3 linked regions of the Callithrix jacchus genome follow. The protein of the gene in region 1 binds, or shares a complex with, the protein of each later gene. Links are inferred from orthologs where the notes say so. Each region holds a gene or a part of one and is shown in the gene's direction. Other genes may lie near its edges.

The links.
Region 2: the proteins of NAA20 (region 1) and SNCA are in contact, whole or in part, in a cryo-EM structure (PDB 7STX), measured with the Homo sapiens proteins. The link is inferred for Callithrix jacchus from reciprocal best matches to the Homo sapiens genes NAA20 and SNCA. Residues at the interface, in NP_057184.1 of Homo sapiens: Leu23, Thr24, Glu25, Tyr27, His73, Val74, Thr75, Ala76, Leu77, Ser78, Leu110, Phe111, Tyr137, Tyr138, Ser139, Ala140; in NP_000336.1 of Homo sapiens: Met1, Asp2, Val3, Phe4.
Region 3: the proteins of NAA20 (region 1) and NAA25 are in contact, whole or in part, in a cryo-EM structure (PDB 7STX), measured with the Homo sapiens proteins. The link is inferred for Callithrix jacchus from reciprocal best matches to the Homo sapiens genes NAA20 and NAA25. Residues at the interface, in NP_057184.1 of Homo sapiens: Thr2, Thr3, Leu4, Arg5, Thr8, Cys9, Asp10, Leu12, Phe13, Phe15, Asn16, Asn19, Leu20, Pro22, Leu23, Thr26, Tyr27, Gly28, Ile29, Pro30, Leu33, Gln34, Leu36, Ala37, His38, Pro40, Glu41, Pro49, Glu52, Met54; in NP_079229.2 of Homo sapiens: Ser226, Glu227, Ile228, Asn259, Asp261, Asp262, Trp263, Gln264, Arg318, Arg321, Leu325, Lys362, Pro363, Cys364, Thr367, Asp368, Val371, Leu457, Thr459, Glu460, Leu461, Ser504, Ala506, Leu510, Leu532, Asp533, Lys535, His536, Ile537, Gln538.

Annotation. Positions count from the first base shown.
Region 1 is NC_133506.1:27,002,966-27,007,624, forward strand, and holds the start of NAA20 (N-alpha-acetyltransferase 20), read left to right. Parts: upstream 1-1,635; 5' UTR 1,636-1,690; coding exon 1,691-1,743; intron 1,744-4,659. UniProt on the Homo sapiens protein: Catalytic subunit of the NatB complex which catalyzes acetylation of the N-terminal methionine residues of peptides beginning with Met-Asp, Met-Glu, Met-Asn and Met-Gln. Proteins with cell cycle functions are overrepresented in the pool of NatB substrates.
Region 2 is NC_133504.1:107,737,597-107,742,275, forward strand, and holds the start of SNCA (alpha-synuclein), read left to right. Parts: upstream 1-1,503; 5' UTR 1,504-1,695; exon of another isoform or gene 1,696-1,817; intron 1,818-1,988; exon of another isoform or gene 1,989-2,423; intron 2,424-2,654; exon of another isoform or gene 2,655-3,072; intron 3,073-3,565; exon of another isoform or gene 3,566-3,713; intron 3,714-4,142; 5' UTR 4,143-4,167; coding exon 4,168-4,288; intron 4,289-4,679. UniProt on the Homo sapiens protein: Neuronal protein that plays several roles in synaptic activity such as regulation of synaptic vesicle trafficking and subsequent neurotransmitter release.
Region 3 is NC_133510.1:115,034,324-115,038,763, reverse strand, and holds the start of NAA25 (N-alpha-acetyltransferase 25, NatB auxiliary subunit), read left to right. Parts: upstream 1-1,264; 5' UTR 1,265-1,284; coding exon 1,285-1,342; exon of another isoform or gene 1,343-1,704; intron 1,705-4,440. UniProt on the Homo sapiens protein: Non-catalytic subunit of the NatB complex which catalyzes acetylation of the N-terminal methionine residues of peptides beginning with Met-Asp, Met-Glu, Met-Asn and Met-Gln. May play a role in normal cell-cycle progression.

The DNA of each region.
Region 1 (4,659 bases):
CTCCTGGCTTCTCCTTCAACAAAGAAAGAAAATACTAACACAAGTGTTTTTACGTTTGTCCTTTTGAAGCTACGGCAAAGTCTGGTTTCTGCCCCGATGACATGGAGTGCTGAAAGAAATGGGGGTCCTCTGAATGACAGGTTGGGTCTCTGAGACCAAAAGGAAATCCTGGTGACCACAGCAGGAAGGCTGCAGCAGCACCACCAGCAACATGTGGATCAGGTGACCAGAGGCCACTATGAAGAAACCCGAGAAACCGTCTTTCACTGAAAAATACACACACAATTCCACACGAGACACATCTTCGGAACCGGCTTTAAGAGGCTTCTAGCATCTGGGCCAATTTGGTTCTGATTACCCCAGGAGAAAGTCACATTAAAAGAGTTGTGGCAGGAGGCTTTTTGTTGATGCTTGAATCTCAATCAAAGATTACCTGTTCAAAGTATTAGGGTCATGTGGTACAATTAAAGACATCAAAAAAAGTTCAGAAATCAACCCTAAAACAATGGAGATGCAGAAATTAACTGAAAAAAATAAAATTATCATTTGAATAATGATCAACGAATAAAAATAGAAAAACAGAAAACTAAGTAAAACCAGGAAAATGACAATACCAATAAAAAGATATAAAGTATAACAAATGGATTCAGAAACTGAACATATGAAACAAAATAATTACTGAAAACTTCTCCAATGAAAGAACAGAGATAAAAAAAGCTCAACACATCAAGAGTATAAGCAAGAAGAGATGTAAAACACTACCTGCACAGTTTCAGAAGTCACAGAGGAGAAAAGAATCTTGAAAGCAGCAAGTGAAAAGCAGTATGTCATAAGCATGCTCTTATGAGATTACCAGTGAATTTGTCTCCAGAATCCTCGAGGCCAGGCTGAAATGATATTCAGGTACAATAAAGTGAGGTCAGGGAAAAATAAAGTGTACTATCAAAATCAATTTTACACTGCTTTTTGCATTTATTTATTTTATTTTTGAGATGGAGCCTCACCCAGGCTGGAGTGGAGTAGTGAGATCTCCACTCACTGCAACCTCCGCTTCCTGGTTCAAGGGATTCTCCTGCCTCAGCCTCCAAGTACAGGCACACGCCTTCCTCCCTCCCTCCCTTCCTCCCTTCCTCCTTTCCTCCTTTCCTCCCTTCCTTCCCTCCTTCCTTCCGTTTGGCCAGGCTGGTCTCAAACTCCTGACTTCAAGTGATCTGCCCCCCTCGGCCTCTCAGTGTTGGGATTACAGGCGTGAGCCACCCCACCCGGCCTTCTTTTTGTATTTAAACGTGGTATTGACATTTTAAGATGACATCTGCGACTCGCATCCCTGGGACAAGCGGTCTCCCGTTCCCCATTTACTCTGCAGAATCCTGCTCCTCTGCTTGAGTTTCTGCATCCCCAGCAGCTTTTTTCCTTGCCAAGCGTCGAGGCCTGCTTTTTGCAGCCGCTTCCCGGGAGGGGTTCCGAAGCTCTGAGCAGCCAGAGCCCCGGAGGCCTTACGGGAGCTAGCTGGCAATTCCCGCCGCCGGCCGCCAGAGGAAGCTGCTTCGCTGCTGTCATTGCAGAGCAACTCGTGACCCGGAAGCAGTACCCCGGCCCCCGGGTTCCGCCGCGGCCGCGCTCCTGGAGACTTCCGGTGGGCGGGCGCAGGGTCTCGGCGTATGGTTTCGGAAGCGGCGGCAGCGGCGCGATGACCACGCTCCGGGCCTTCACCTGCGACGATCTGTTCCGCTTCAACAACATGTGAGTGAGACGCGCTTAGGGCCAGCCGCTCCTGGCCCGGCCCAGCTTCCCGGCCGCGCCCTCCCGGCTGGACCCCAAACCCGGGCGGAGACCCGCGAGAACCACCCCCGCCGACCGTTAAGGGAGCCTCTCTAGGGTCACAGGGTCCAGGAACGGGTGGACCCGGGGTCGACGCGCGTCGGCCTTGGCGACCTTGGCAAAGTATTCAAACTTTGTCTCTGGACCCTGCAAGCTCCTGGGTCCTGGGGCAGCCCTCGGGCCGCCGCTCAGGGTCGCTGTCAGGACGCGCCGGGGCGATGGGGCGAGCCGGGGGCGCGGCCTCGAGCCTAGGACCTGGGCTCCTCGCCCGGCTGCTTGCTGGCTGATGGCTGAGCCGCGCCTCTTCTGGGCAGTGGGCATCGCCAAAGGCCCGGCCGCAGAGGGGGCTTGCGAGGGTCGGAAACGGGTCAGCAGCTGCTGGGATGCGTACATCGTGAAGCCCACCTGGTGGCCGTGGTTAAATTGTAGATAAATGAAATAACGCTGATCACTGTGTCCCTGCAGCGATACTGTCTCAGTCGTGGCTGGTGATTGCAGGTTTAGTTACTGTAGCTGCACACCCCGGTGTAGACACCTTTCCTCTATGAGGTGTCAGGGCAGATCCTAGGGAAGGCTCGCTGTGCGTAGAGCCCTGGATTCAGTTTCTTTGGATTCGAGTTAAGGCCAGACCTCTGATTTGCAGGTACTATTTTTTTTTTTTTTTTAAGAAAACATTTTATTATGAAGATTTTCGAACGTTTAGAGAGGTTGGAGGAGGCCAGGTGCGGTGGCTCACGCCTGTAATCCCAGCACTTTGGGAGGCCGTGGCGGGTGGATCACGAGGTCAAGAGATTGAGACCATCCTGGCCAACATGGTGAAACCCAGTCTCTACTAAAAAACAGAAAAAAATTAGCTGGGCGTGGTGGCGCGTGCCTGTAGTTCCAGCTACTCGGGAGGCTGAGGCAGGAGAATCGCTTAAAGCCGGGAGGCGGAGGTTGCAGTGAGTTGCTATCTTACCACTGCACTCCAGCCTGGCGGCAGAGGGAGACTCCGTCTCAAAAAGAATAAAAGAAAAGTTGGAGGAATTTCACCGTGTGCTTCTATAGACACTTCTCCTGGATTCTGCAGTTAACATTTTGTTATGCTGGTTATCTCTCTGCCTATCAGTCCTACATCCATTTTTAAAAAATAAGCTCCCACCATGTGAAGCGAAAGACCAAGTGGTTCCGATTTGGGTGTGAAGAAGGTGGAAAGAACTGTGGGATGAGATAGCTGGGAACATTTCAGAGTGGGTGAACCCTGAAGGATGGATAACACATTGGTAAGTGAGGAAGAAGGAAATTCCAGAGTAGCGGGGAGTGAAAGTGGGGAAACTTGACATGCGGTCAGGCAGCTGGGATCAGTGTGAATCTAGTGGTTTCTGTCACACTCATTTTCTTTTATTCTTTGAGACAGGATCTCACTCTGTAACCCAGAAAAGGAGTGCAGTGGCACAATCATAGCTCTCTGTAGTCTCAACCTCCCAGGCCCAGGCTGTTCTCCTGCCTCAGCCACCTGAGTAGCTGGGACTACAGGCACGTGCTGCCACATCCACTAATTTTTTAAATTTTTTGTAGAGACAGGGTCTTGTTTTGTTGCCCAAGCTGGTCTGGAACTCCCAGGCTCAAGTGATTCTCTCACCTTATCCTCCCAAAGTGCTGGAATTGCAGTTGTGAGCCACCACACCTCATCCCCATTTTTTCTATTTTCTTACCTCTTTGATTTTGGTAGAAAACTCTAAGAATCACTCAGATTAGATGCTGCAGTTGGAATCGAAAGAATCCATGGATGCAGAACATTGCAATTAATTTGACACATATTTTATTCTTGGAAAAATATTTGAGTGCCTACTGTGTGCCAGTGCTAGAGGCGTTATCAGTGAACAAGATATAAAAACATGTCTATAGAATGTACATTTTCCCCTCTAAAAACCTTAGTGTATTGGACCGGGCGTGGTGGCTGACGCCTGTAATCCCAGCACTTTGGGAGGCCGAGGCGGGTGGATCATGAGGTCAAGAGATTGAGACCATCCTGGTCAACATGGTGAAACTCCGTCTCTACTACAAATACAAAAAATTAGCTGGGCATGGTGGCGTGTGCCTGTAGTCCCAGCTACTCAGGAGGCTGAGGCAGGAGAATTGCCTGAACCCAGGAGGCGGAGGTTGCAGTGAGCTGAGATCACGCCATTGCACTCCAGCCTGGGTAACAAGAGTGAAACTCCCTCTCAAAAAAAAAAAAACCTTAGTGTATCATAAAATAGCTCAGACTTCATAGAACACCTGAGACAATGTTGGGGACACCCCCAAATCCTGACCCACACCTTGGAAATCACTGCTCTAATACTGTACGGGAAGTCATTTGGAACTTCACTTCAGTTACAAAGGAAAATACAAGCAGAGAAGGAAAGTTGGAAGTGAGGGGGGACTCGGCTTTAGTTTGGGTGTTGAGGGAGAGTGCCGTTGAAGAAAGACCTGGGGAAGTTAGGAAATGAGTTACATGAAAACAGGGGAGCTTCCAGATAGAGGGGACTGTAAACGAAGACACCCCTGTTGCAAATAGGAGGTGGGCCTCGTGGCTGGAACAGAGAGAGCGTGGGAGGGTGAGGGGATAACAGCAGAGTTAGAAGGGCAAGGCCTGGAGAGGCCATCATAAGACCTGAGCTTCTCTGCCACGTGTACCAGGAAACCCAGGTGGAGGGGCCAGGAAGGCATCTGGGCATGGGCGTCTCAAGATTAGGTCTGGGCTAAAGACAGAAATTTGGGGGTTGGCATTAAGTGTAGAAAAAAAAGGCTAAGAGGCTGTAAGATGGTGCCGTAGGGCATCAAATGTTCCAGTAAAGGATACCATGTGGCTCCGTG
Region 2 (4,679 bases), on another chromosome or scaffold:
TCTGTTTATAAAAGTTACATAAAACATAATTTATCTGCTTGTTATGACTGAAAAACATAGTACATTAGTCCTTTGTCAAAAGACTAATAAATTACCATATAAAAGTGTGGAATGGTGTTTAATATTATAAGAAATGCAACTGTCCAAAAATAATTCTCTCACATTGGTCTGCTAATAAGACCTGAAATATCTGTCATTTTATTTATCTCTTTGACTTAAAGCACCAGGTCTCAAGGAGGTCACTGTTAAACTATAAATTTGTCATATGAAATAATATATTAAATAATTGTTGTAATAGTCTATTGACGTACTAGCTGTAAGGAGGCACAATGGAAAACATATACTATTAACAGTAATACAAAGAAACAATAAAAAGCAATAAAAAACAAACCACTGATTCATGCAACAACATGAATGAACCTCACAAATATTATGCTGAGTAAAAGAGGTCACACAGATATGAAACAAAGTTCGTACTATGTGATTAGATTTTTATGAAATTTGAGAACATGCACATGAAAGGTACAAGGTAACTGTCTGGAGTGATGAAAATGTCCTGAATCTTCAAAATGGTGTGGGTTACACTAAAGAATGGCTTTTTCAAAGTGACTTAAAGGGACACAACATCTGAGCATTTCACTAGGTGTAAATTATACTGCAATTTAAAATAATTATCTAATGATATTGTGGTTATTTTTAAACAGTTTCTAAATTTTGTGGATGCATACTGAATGTTTACAGCTGAAAAGATATATACAAAGCTTGAATTTGGTGACAAAAAACAGGGAGTATTTGTACTGATAAAGTTAGTGGACATATGGATGAGACATGATCAGCCATGCATTGAAAAACATGTAAAAGTTGGGTGATATTCACATGGGAGTCCTTCATTGTGTCTACTTTCGTGTGTTTGAATATTTCCCATAACAAGAAGTTGAGAATAGATCGGTCACCTGAGTTCACCCCTTCATTTACAAAAAAGAAAACTGGAAACAGAAGAACATAACTTGTTCACGGTCTCAAAGCCAGACAGCATACTAGCTCCCAAATCCAACCTTTTTGCTGTGGTGGTAGGCAAACACACAATATTAATGTGAGCTACTGCATTATGGAAAGTCTGCTTTTCCAAAGGGCAGACCAAGAGTTCAAGGAAGTGCTTAAGTAATAAATATCTATAATCTTGCTTTCATGCTCTGCTATTTTCCACTGAACACATATGCATTATCTTCTATATGTCTTTTATGTATAATCATTTGCTTCCTGTTCCTTGTGGTTTTAAAGTTGTTTTTTATGTTTAAATTTGATTTTACTCAAATTTCAGAACCAAAATGAGCGCAAGAATCAAACAAAACATTACTTTCTATAAATATAAAAACAATTTTTGCAAAACCATACAGCAAAAACGAGTTGTTTCCCCCCCCCCCCCCCACCTTTTCCAGGGCTTAACTAATCTTCCGAATCCAGGCACAGAAAGCAAAGGCTTTCTGCTAGTGGGAGGAGCTTGCTTCTCCATTCTGGTGTGATCTAGGAACAGCTGTCTTCCTTCCAGCTCTGAAAGAGGTGAAAATGTGTTAAGCGATGCAAAAATTGTCTTGAAGTTCGCGTTTGTATGTCTGTGTGTTTGAGCGTGTTGGGGGTGAGGGAGACAAAAGGGGGTGTCAGTTCTGAGGGCAACGAGAATCAGAAGTCAGAAAGGTGAGTGGTGTGTAGCATTCTCCTTTCAGAAGGGGCTGAAGAAGAAATTGTATATGATGGTCGGGTAGTGGAGATCACGCTGGATTTGCCTCCTAGATAGACCACGCGCTTGGGTCTGCAAAGTAAGTCCCATTTCTAGAGCGAAAAGCCTTAGGACTGCTTGTTTTAGACGGCTGGGGAATATTTATTCCTTGTTCCACTGATGGGAAAATCAGCGTCTGGCAGGCGCTGATTGGTGGAAAGGAAAATGGTGATAGTGGGGTGGGAAGAGGATTTGCTGAGCCTCCTCCTGCGTCCTTAACCTGTAACTCTTCCTTAGTAGTCTCCGCTTCACCTGCGGGACCCTTTCGGGCTCGTCCTAGATTAAGAGCAAACGGAAATCTTGGGGATATTTGAACTAAAGCGACCTTTAACGTTATAGCGGACGACGGCGAGTAAATTTCAGCGATACGAGGGCAAAGTGCTCTCGGCTGTGCCGTGTGAGCAGCCTCCTGCGCTGCTGTTTCCTCCAGCAGCCCCCCAAGAAATAGGCTCTGCTCTAGGTGGTCGACCCTCAGGGCCCCGACTCTCCCAGGTCGACTCTGACGCGGTGCAGGGGATGGTCCCCAGGAGGACCTGGGGGGAAAGGCGGGGACAGGAAGAGAGGGGAATGGGAAAGACGGAGAGGCGTCAGCCCAACCCCAACCCCTCGCGAGCGCCAAAAGAGTGCCCGTGACCCTGAACTTGAGGTAAGGCGCGAAGGCACCCCCACTTTCCCGATTTGCGCGGTCAGGCAGGCGGCTGGAGTTGATAGTTCACCCTCCGCCCCCTGCCCCATCCCCATCCGAGAAAGGGAACGGAGCAGCGCACGCGGCAGGGAAACCGCGAGCGCCGAGAGAGGGCGGGGAGAGGCGCTGACAAATCAGCGCTGGGGGCGGAGAGGCGAGGAGAAGCTGGAGGAGGACCAGGCGGAGGACGACGGCGACGACCAGAAGGGGCCCGAGAGAGGGGGCGAGCGACCGAGCGCCGCGACGCGGGAGTGAGGTGCGTGCGGGCTGCAGCGCAGACCCCAGCCCGGCCCCGCGGAGAGCGTCCTGGGCGCGCCCTCCCGCCTTCCCTTCAAGCCTCCCTTTCTCTTCATCCTCGTGAGCGAGGGACTGGGCGTGGCCATTCGACGACAGGTTAGCGGATTTGCCTCCCACGCCCCCAGCCTAGCGTCGCCGAGTTGTGCTGACGGCGGCCTCCTCTGGGGACCGTCCCCCTCCCGGTGCCGCCTCCGCCTTTCCTATGCGCTCCTTTCCCTCCCTCTTCCCTATTCAATATTATTTGGGAATTGTTTAAAAATTTTTTAAGGGAGGTGGGGAGGAATCGGAGTTGTGGAGAAGCAGAGGGACTCTGGTAAGTACCTGTAGATCTAAACGTATGTCTTTGGAAATCCCGGAGAACGCCAGGTGGGAGAGAAGTGGTCGTGGGCGCCGGGAGGGGGTGGTGCTGCAGTGAGGATCCGCTGTGCCAGGTCTCTGGGCGATGAGTACTTGCCCTTTCGGGAGCCTAAGGAAAGAGACTGGACCTGGCTTTCCTCCTGCTTCCGATATTTGCTTCTCCTCAAAGGCTGAGAGGTCAGGCATTCCCCAGGATCCGCTTTTCCCCGGGAAACCCGAGGATGCTCCATGGAGCCTGAGCATCCAACTTTTATTTCTCTCTTACCCGAAATTCCTCTGCCCGCTCTCTCGGTTTTTCTCTGTAAAGTAAGCAAGCTGCATTTGGCAAATAATGAAATGAAAGTGCAGGGAGGCCAAGTCAACAGGTGGTAAAGGGTTAACAAGTGCAGGCTCGCGGTCCGCTGGGTGGAGGCTAAGAACGCCTCCTCAGGTGGCTGGTGCGGGCCTCCAGACCGCCGACCGCCGGCGGGTGTGAGCGGCGCCTGCTCTGGATAGATAGCTGAGGGCGGGCAGGGGTTGGGGGGTGGCCAATGTTCTTGTGGATTAGAACCAGCGCCCCTGGGCTCGCTGTTTGCCTGAGATTCAACCACACCCAGAGTGAGTAGTTAGTTCTCTTCCCCATGCTTCTCCGTCATCAACCCGGTAGCCTTATTCTGGGATTCACGTTAAGGATGCCCCTGACCTTAAGCTCCAGCTTCCAGGCTTCTAACTCATACTGTTACCCTTTAGACCCTGGGAAGTTGAAAAAGGGTGAATCTTTTCTTGCAACTCCACTTCTGAAATGCAGTAATAACAACTCAGAGGATTCATCTTAATACATGGTTAGGTGGCTAGACTTTTACTAGCCAAGATGGATGGGAGATGCTAAATTTTTAATGCCAGAGCTAAAAATGTCTGCTTTGTCCAATGGTTAAATGAGTGTACACTTAAAAGAGTCTCACACTTTGGAGGGTTTCTAATAATTTTTCAGTGTTTTTTTTTTTTCCTCAAAAAGTTCTCATTCAAAGTGTATTTTATGTTCTCCAGTGTGGTGTAAAGGAATTCATTAGCCATGGATGTATTCATGAAAGGACTTTCAAAGGCCAAGGAGGGAGTTGTGGCTGCTGCTGAGAAAACCAAACAGGGTGTGGCAGAAGCAGCAGGAAAGACAAAAGAGGGTGTTCTCTATGTAGGTAGGTAAACCTCAGATGTCACTTTGGTGTTTGCTCATGACTGATGGGTCAGGATAATCAGTACTCTAAATGCTGGTAGTTCTCTCTCTTGATTCATTTTTGCATCATTGGCTGTCAAAAGGGTGGACTGAGTCAGAGGTGTGTGTAGGTAGATGAATGTGAATGTGTGTATTTGAGCTAATAGTTAAAAAATGTGTCTGTTTGCTTTTCCAGATTTTTAATTTTCCTTTAATATTTAGAACATTTTAAAAATGAGTATTTCTCTGCCTACATGACTACATTTCAGAGAACAGTTTTAAAAACTCAGTCTTTTAAAAAATAATAATATTCTTAAGCATCAAAATGATTCATGGGCCTTTGATATTTTACCATCATGAATAATGTTTGTCCA
Region 3 (4,440 bases), on another chromosome or scaffold:
TGTTCTTCTACAAAGGCTGGAATGTATAACAAAAGCCCACCAAAGGCCTTTCCTTAGCCTTAAAGCATGGCAAAATAATGAAGGAATTCCTAACAGGATCCATTTAGGATCGAGCAAGTTTTTTTTTTGTTTTGTTTAGTTTTTTTCTAATACAGAGTCTCACTCTGTCGCCAGGCTGGAGTGCAGTGGCACAATCTTGGCTCACTGCAACCTCCGCCTCCTTGGTTCAAGCCATTCTGCCACAGCCTTCCAAGTAGCTGGGATTACAAGCGCGGTCCACCACGCCCAGCTAATTTTTTGTATTTTTTAGCAGAGATGGAGTTTCACCATGTTGTCTAGCATGGCCTTGATCTCCTAACCTCAAGATCCGCCCTTCTCGGCCTCCCAAAGTGCTGGGATTACAGGCATGAGCCACTGTGCCCAGCCAGATTAAACAAATTTTATCGGGGGTCTGAAGTAACTCCCCACACTTCTGTGATTTTTTAGCAGGAGACAAGATAAGGGCACCTACATCCATATAAATTAAGAAAATTTACTGAGGCTCCAGAGGAAGATCTTCAGGACTCAGAGCTTAGTTATAGATTAAAATAAATTAATCACTTATAGATTATTGCACCCTTACACGTAGACGTATAGCTTCGAAGGTATATAAGCTCTGGAAAGCTTTGTAATTTTGAGTTGGTCTAGTGATCATTTCCAGGCCTTCTCCCTGTAACTGGCTGCAGAAATAAAAACTCTCTTTCTCTTCAGTTCATCTGCATCTGCTTATTGGACCACAAGAAATAGCAGCCCGACCCTCAGTCTGGTCCGAAAACAGGTGGAGGGCTCTCAAACTTTTTTGGCAGATTTTTGCTGTTGATCAGCACCCCCTTCCCCAACATTCCCTTGGGTCTCTCTCTCCTCCAGGAGTTCCTGGTTCCTCTGCGATTAATCACAGCCAAGTCTAACTGGTTCTTCAGGACAGAGAATAAACAGGAGCAGCGGAACCCTAATTTTGACCGAGAGCTTTCTCCCCTCCTCTCCTCACTTCCCAGTCAGTGACTCGGAAGAGATTTTAACAGCAACAGCTGCCTCCTCTTGCCAGCTTGATACTACCTGCAACGTGAAAGAACAGTGTTTAAAGTGGCAATCTGGCATGGTGGATGCTTCCATTTCCGCGCAAGCGCGTTGAGTCGCGGCTCCACAACTATCGCGATAGACAAGCGAAAGCGACTCTGGCCCTTTAACAGCCCCTTCCCGGGGGCCTGCCCCGCGCGTGCGCACTGCAGTTCTGCGCTTGTCATCATGGCGACGCGGGGCCATGTGCAGGACCCTAACGACAGGCGCCTCCGGCCCATTTACGGTGAGTGCCTCGGACCGGTCGGGTCGCCAGCCCGACGCATTGAGGGCTGCCGAGGCTGGAGCGAAATCCCAGGAGGGGTGCTGAGGGCCGGCGCGTGGGCCGGGCAGGCGCAGGGGGCGGGCTGCGCGGGCCACTAGGCCGCAGCCGCGGGCCTCGCGTAGGCGCCGGCCCAGCCTTTCTCAGCCCTGACGTGGTAGCGGCGCGGTCTGGGCAGCTGCTAGTCGCCAGAGCTGGCCTGCCTGGCAGGCCCCTTGGGACGCGTGGTTCTGAAGACACCTGCGCTACCCGCAGGCTGGATTATTACCACCGCTCCTGAGGAGACCGGAGATTTCCCGAAGGTGGAAGCCGGCTGCGGCACAAGGGTGGGAAGGAATGATTCCTGCCAGAGGAATGATTCCCTAACAGAAATTTTTTTATTTACGAGAATTGGGCCTAGAGGGTTGTCTGACTAGGTAGGCCTCGGTGTACAGGAGAAACCGAGGTCCAGAGTGGGGAAGGGGCGGACGCAAGGTCACCCAGATCGAGTCAGGAGCAGGCGCGAGATTCCAGGCTCCCAATCCAGAGCTGTTTGGTGGAGAAGCAGCTGCTCTGGGCACATGTGGGAGACGAGGGAAGGGGGTCTTGGGCCCAAAATAGCGGTGAAGAGATTGTGATAGCTCGTGTCAGAGGGGCATGCAGAACTACCGGAGGGCTTCTCCTTTCTGCAGCTTCTCTGTGGTTTTCTCTGCAGTTTTCCTTCCCGTGCTATGCAGATCCCTCTTCACAGCTCTTACCTCAGTCCGCAGGCTTGAAGACCTTGATGTCATCCAGTTTCCTTGGTAGTGAAAAATCACAGATTTGAGTTTGGGAGAAACCCTTTTCCGATAACCGAGATACTACTGTGTAATTGGATTGGTCCTTTTTGCATTTCCTTTTCTCTTAGATGGTTGTATGGTTTTGGTCTGTCTCACTTAATGGTGAGGAAGCTTCAAGGTCAGCGGTTTTTAACAAAAGTAGACCTCGTGTTTATAGACATCGTGTGGATGTTACATTGGAGGCTTCTCCCCATGGCGGGAATCATTTTGGGAGCGGGAGCGGGGGCGGTGGTTAACTTTGTTTCTGGCCACAGTTAGTTCTGCTTTTATTTTATAATTTATATGTTTCTTTACTCTTACATCTCATTTGATTCTAGCAACAGTCCTGTGGGTTGGGCAGTAATAATAATAGCTAAAGTTGATAGACCACTCATTATAACAGTCACTGGCCTTGGCCTTTTATATGGGTTGTCTAATATCATCTTCACCCATTCTCAAGAGGTGGGTACTGTTTTTTCCAGCCCCTGAACTGTTTAACAACAACAACAACAAAACAGATGAGGAAACTAGGGCTTTATTGATATTGCATAATTTGTTTAAGGCCACTTAGCTGGTATTTATATATTTCTTTTTAAGACGGAGTCTCACGTCCATCACCTGGGCTGGAGTGCAGTGGTGCTATCTCCACTCAGTGCAACCTCCACCTCCCTGGTTCAAGCAATTCTCCTGCCTTAGCCTCCCGAGTAGCTGGGATTACAGGCATGTGCCACCACGCCTGGCTAAATTTTGTATTTTTAGTAGAGACCAGGTTTCACCGTGTTGGCCAGGCTGTTTTGCAACTCTCCTGACCTCAAGTGATCCACCCACCTCGGCCTCCCAAAGTGCTGGCATTACAGGTGTGAGCCACTGAGCACGGCCTCCGTTAGTACTTCTTGGAGCGAGAGGAGTTGCTGTCGCTCAGGTTGGAGTACAGTGGCATAATCTCAGCTCACTGCACCCTCCATCTCCCAGGTTCAAGTGATTCTTCTGCCTCAGCCTCCTGAGTTGCTGGGATTACAGGCTCATGCCACCAGGCCCAGCGAACTTCTATGTTTTTGGCAGAGACAGGATTTTACCATGTTGGCCAGGCTGGTCTTGAACTCCTGACCTCAAGTAATCTGTCCTTCTCAGCCTCCCAAAGTGCTGGGATTATAGGCATGAGCCACGAAGCCTGGCTCCAGGCTTACCTTTTTTCTTTTCTTTTTTTTTTTGGGAGACAGTCTCTTTCTGTCATCCTGGCTAGAGTGCAGTTGCATAATCACAGCACACTGCAACCTCCACCTCCTGGGTTCAAGTGATTCTCCTTCCTCAACTTCCTGAGTAGCTGGGATTACAGGTCCCTGCCACCATGCTGGCTAATTTTTGTATATATTGTAGAGAATAGGTTTTGCCATGTTGCCCACTCTGGTCTAAAACTCCTGAGCTCAACCAGTCCTCCTGCCTCTGCCTCCCAGAGTTCTGGGATTACAGGTGTGAGCCACTGCACATGGCCCAGGCTCACCTTCTTAACCTCTGTGCTAGAAACCACCTCACTTTGAGCCAAAGACACTGATTTGCCTGAGGTCACACATAGAAAGGATTCTGATTTCCCATTTTCCCGGGGCTGCATATTCTCATGCCCTTGCCCTCCAGTGTATATTTTCAGAGGGCAAAAATATGTACAAGGTGGGTGATGGAAGGTGAGAACTGAATGCAGGGTTTATAATTCGTGACTTATTACATCTTTGTGCAGCAGCTGTTTGCAGACTTTTTTTTTTTTAACTAAAAAGACGCAATACTTTCAAGAGTATTTTGATTTTTAAAATTGTTCTTGAGGACCAAAGATAATTTCTTTGGTCCCATACTTATTTAGAATTAATAATGTTAATTAATTGATTGTCCAGTGGTAAACACCACATCCATTTCACATCACTAAACATCAGGATATATGAACCAGGATATATTAACAAGTTATATTCTCAAAACTGAAGTCAGAATTATGTAGCTCTTGTTATATGTACATGGGAAGAGGATTAGAAGAGGCTTTCTTCAGGAATTCTAAGGCGATTAGTATAAACTGGCAGGCAGCACTAGGAAAAGAACGGTACAGTGAATTCAGCACTTCAGCACATTTGACTTTTGAACTCCACACTTTTGTTGTTTAAATACTTTAGTACCTCCAAACAACTATGGTTCCTTGAATTCAGACATTCTGATAAATGAACAAATTCATCTATGGTGGTACTTGCCCACCAGCCAAAAATTCAACGACTATCAGCATTAATT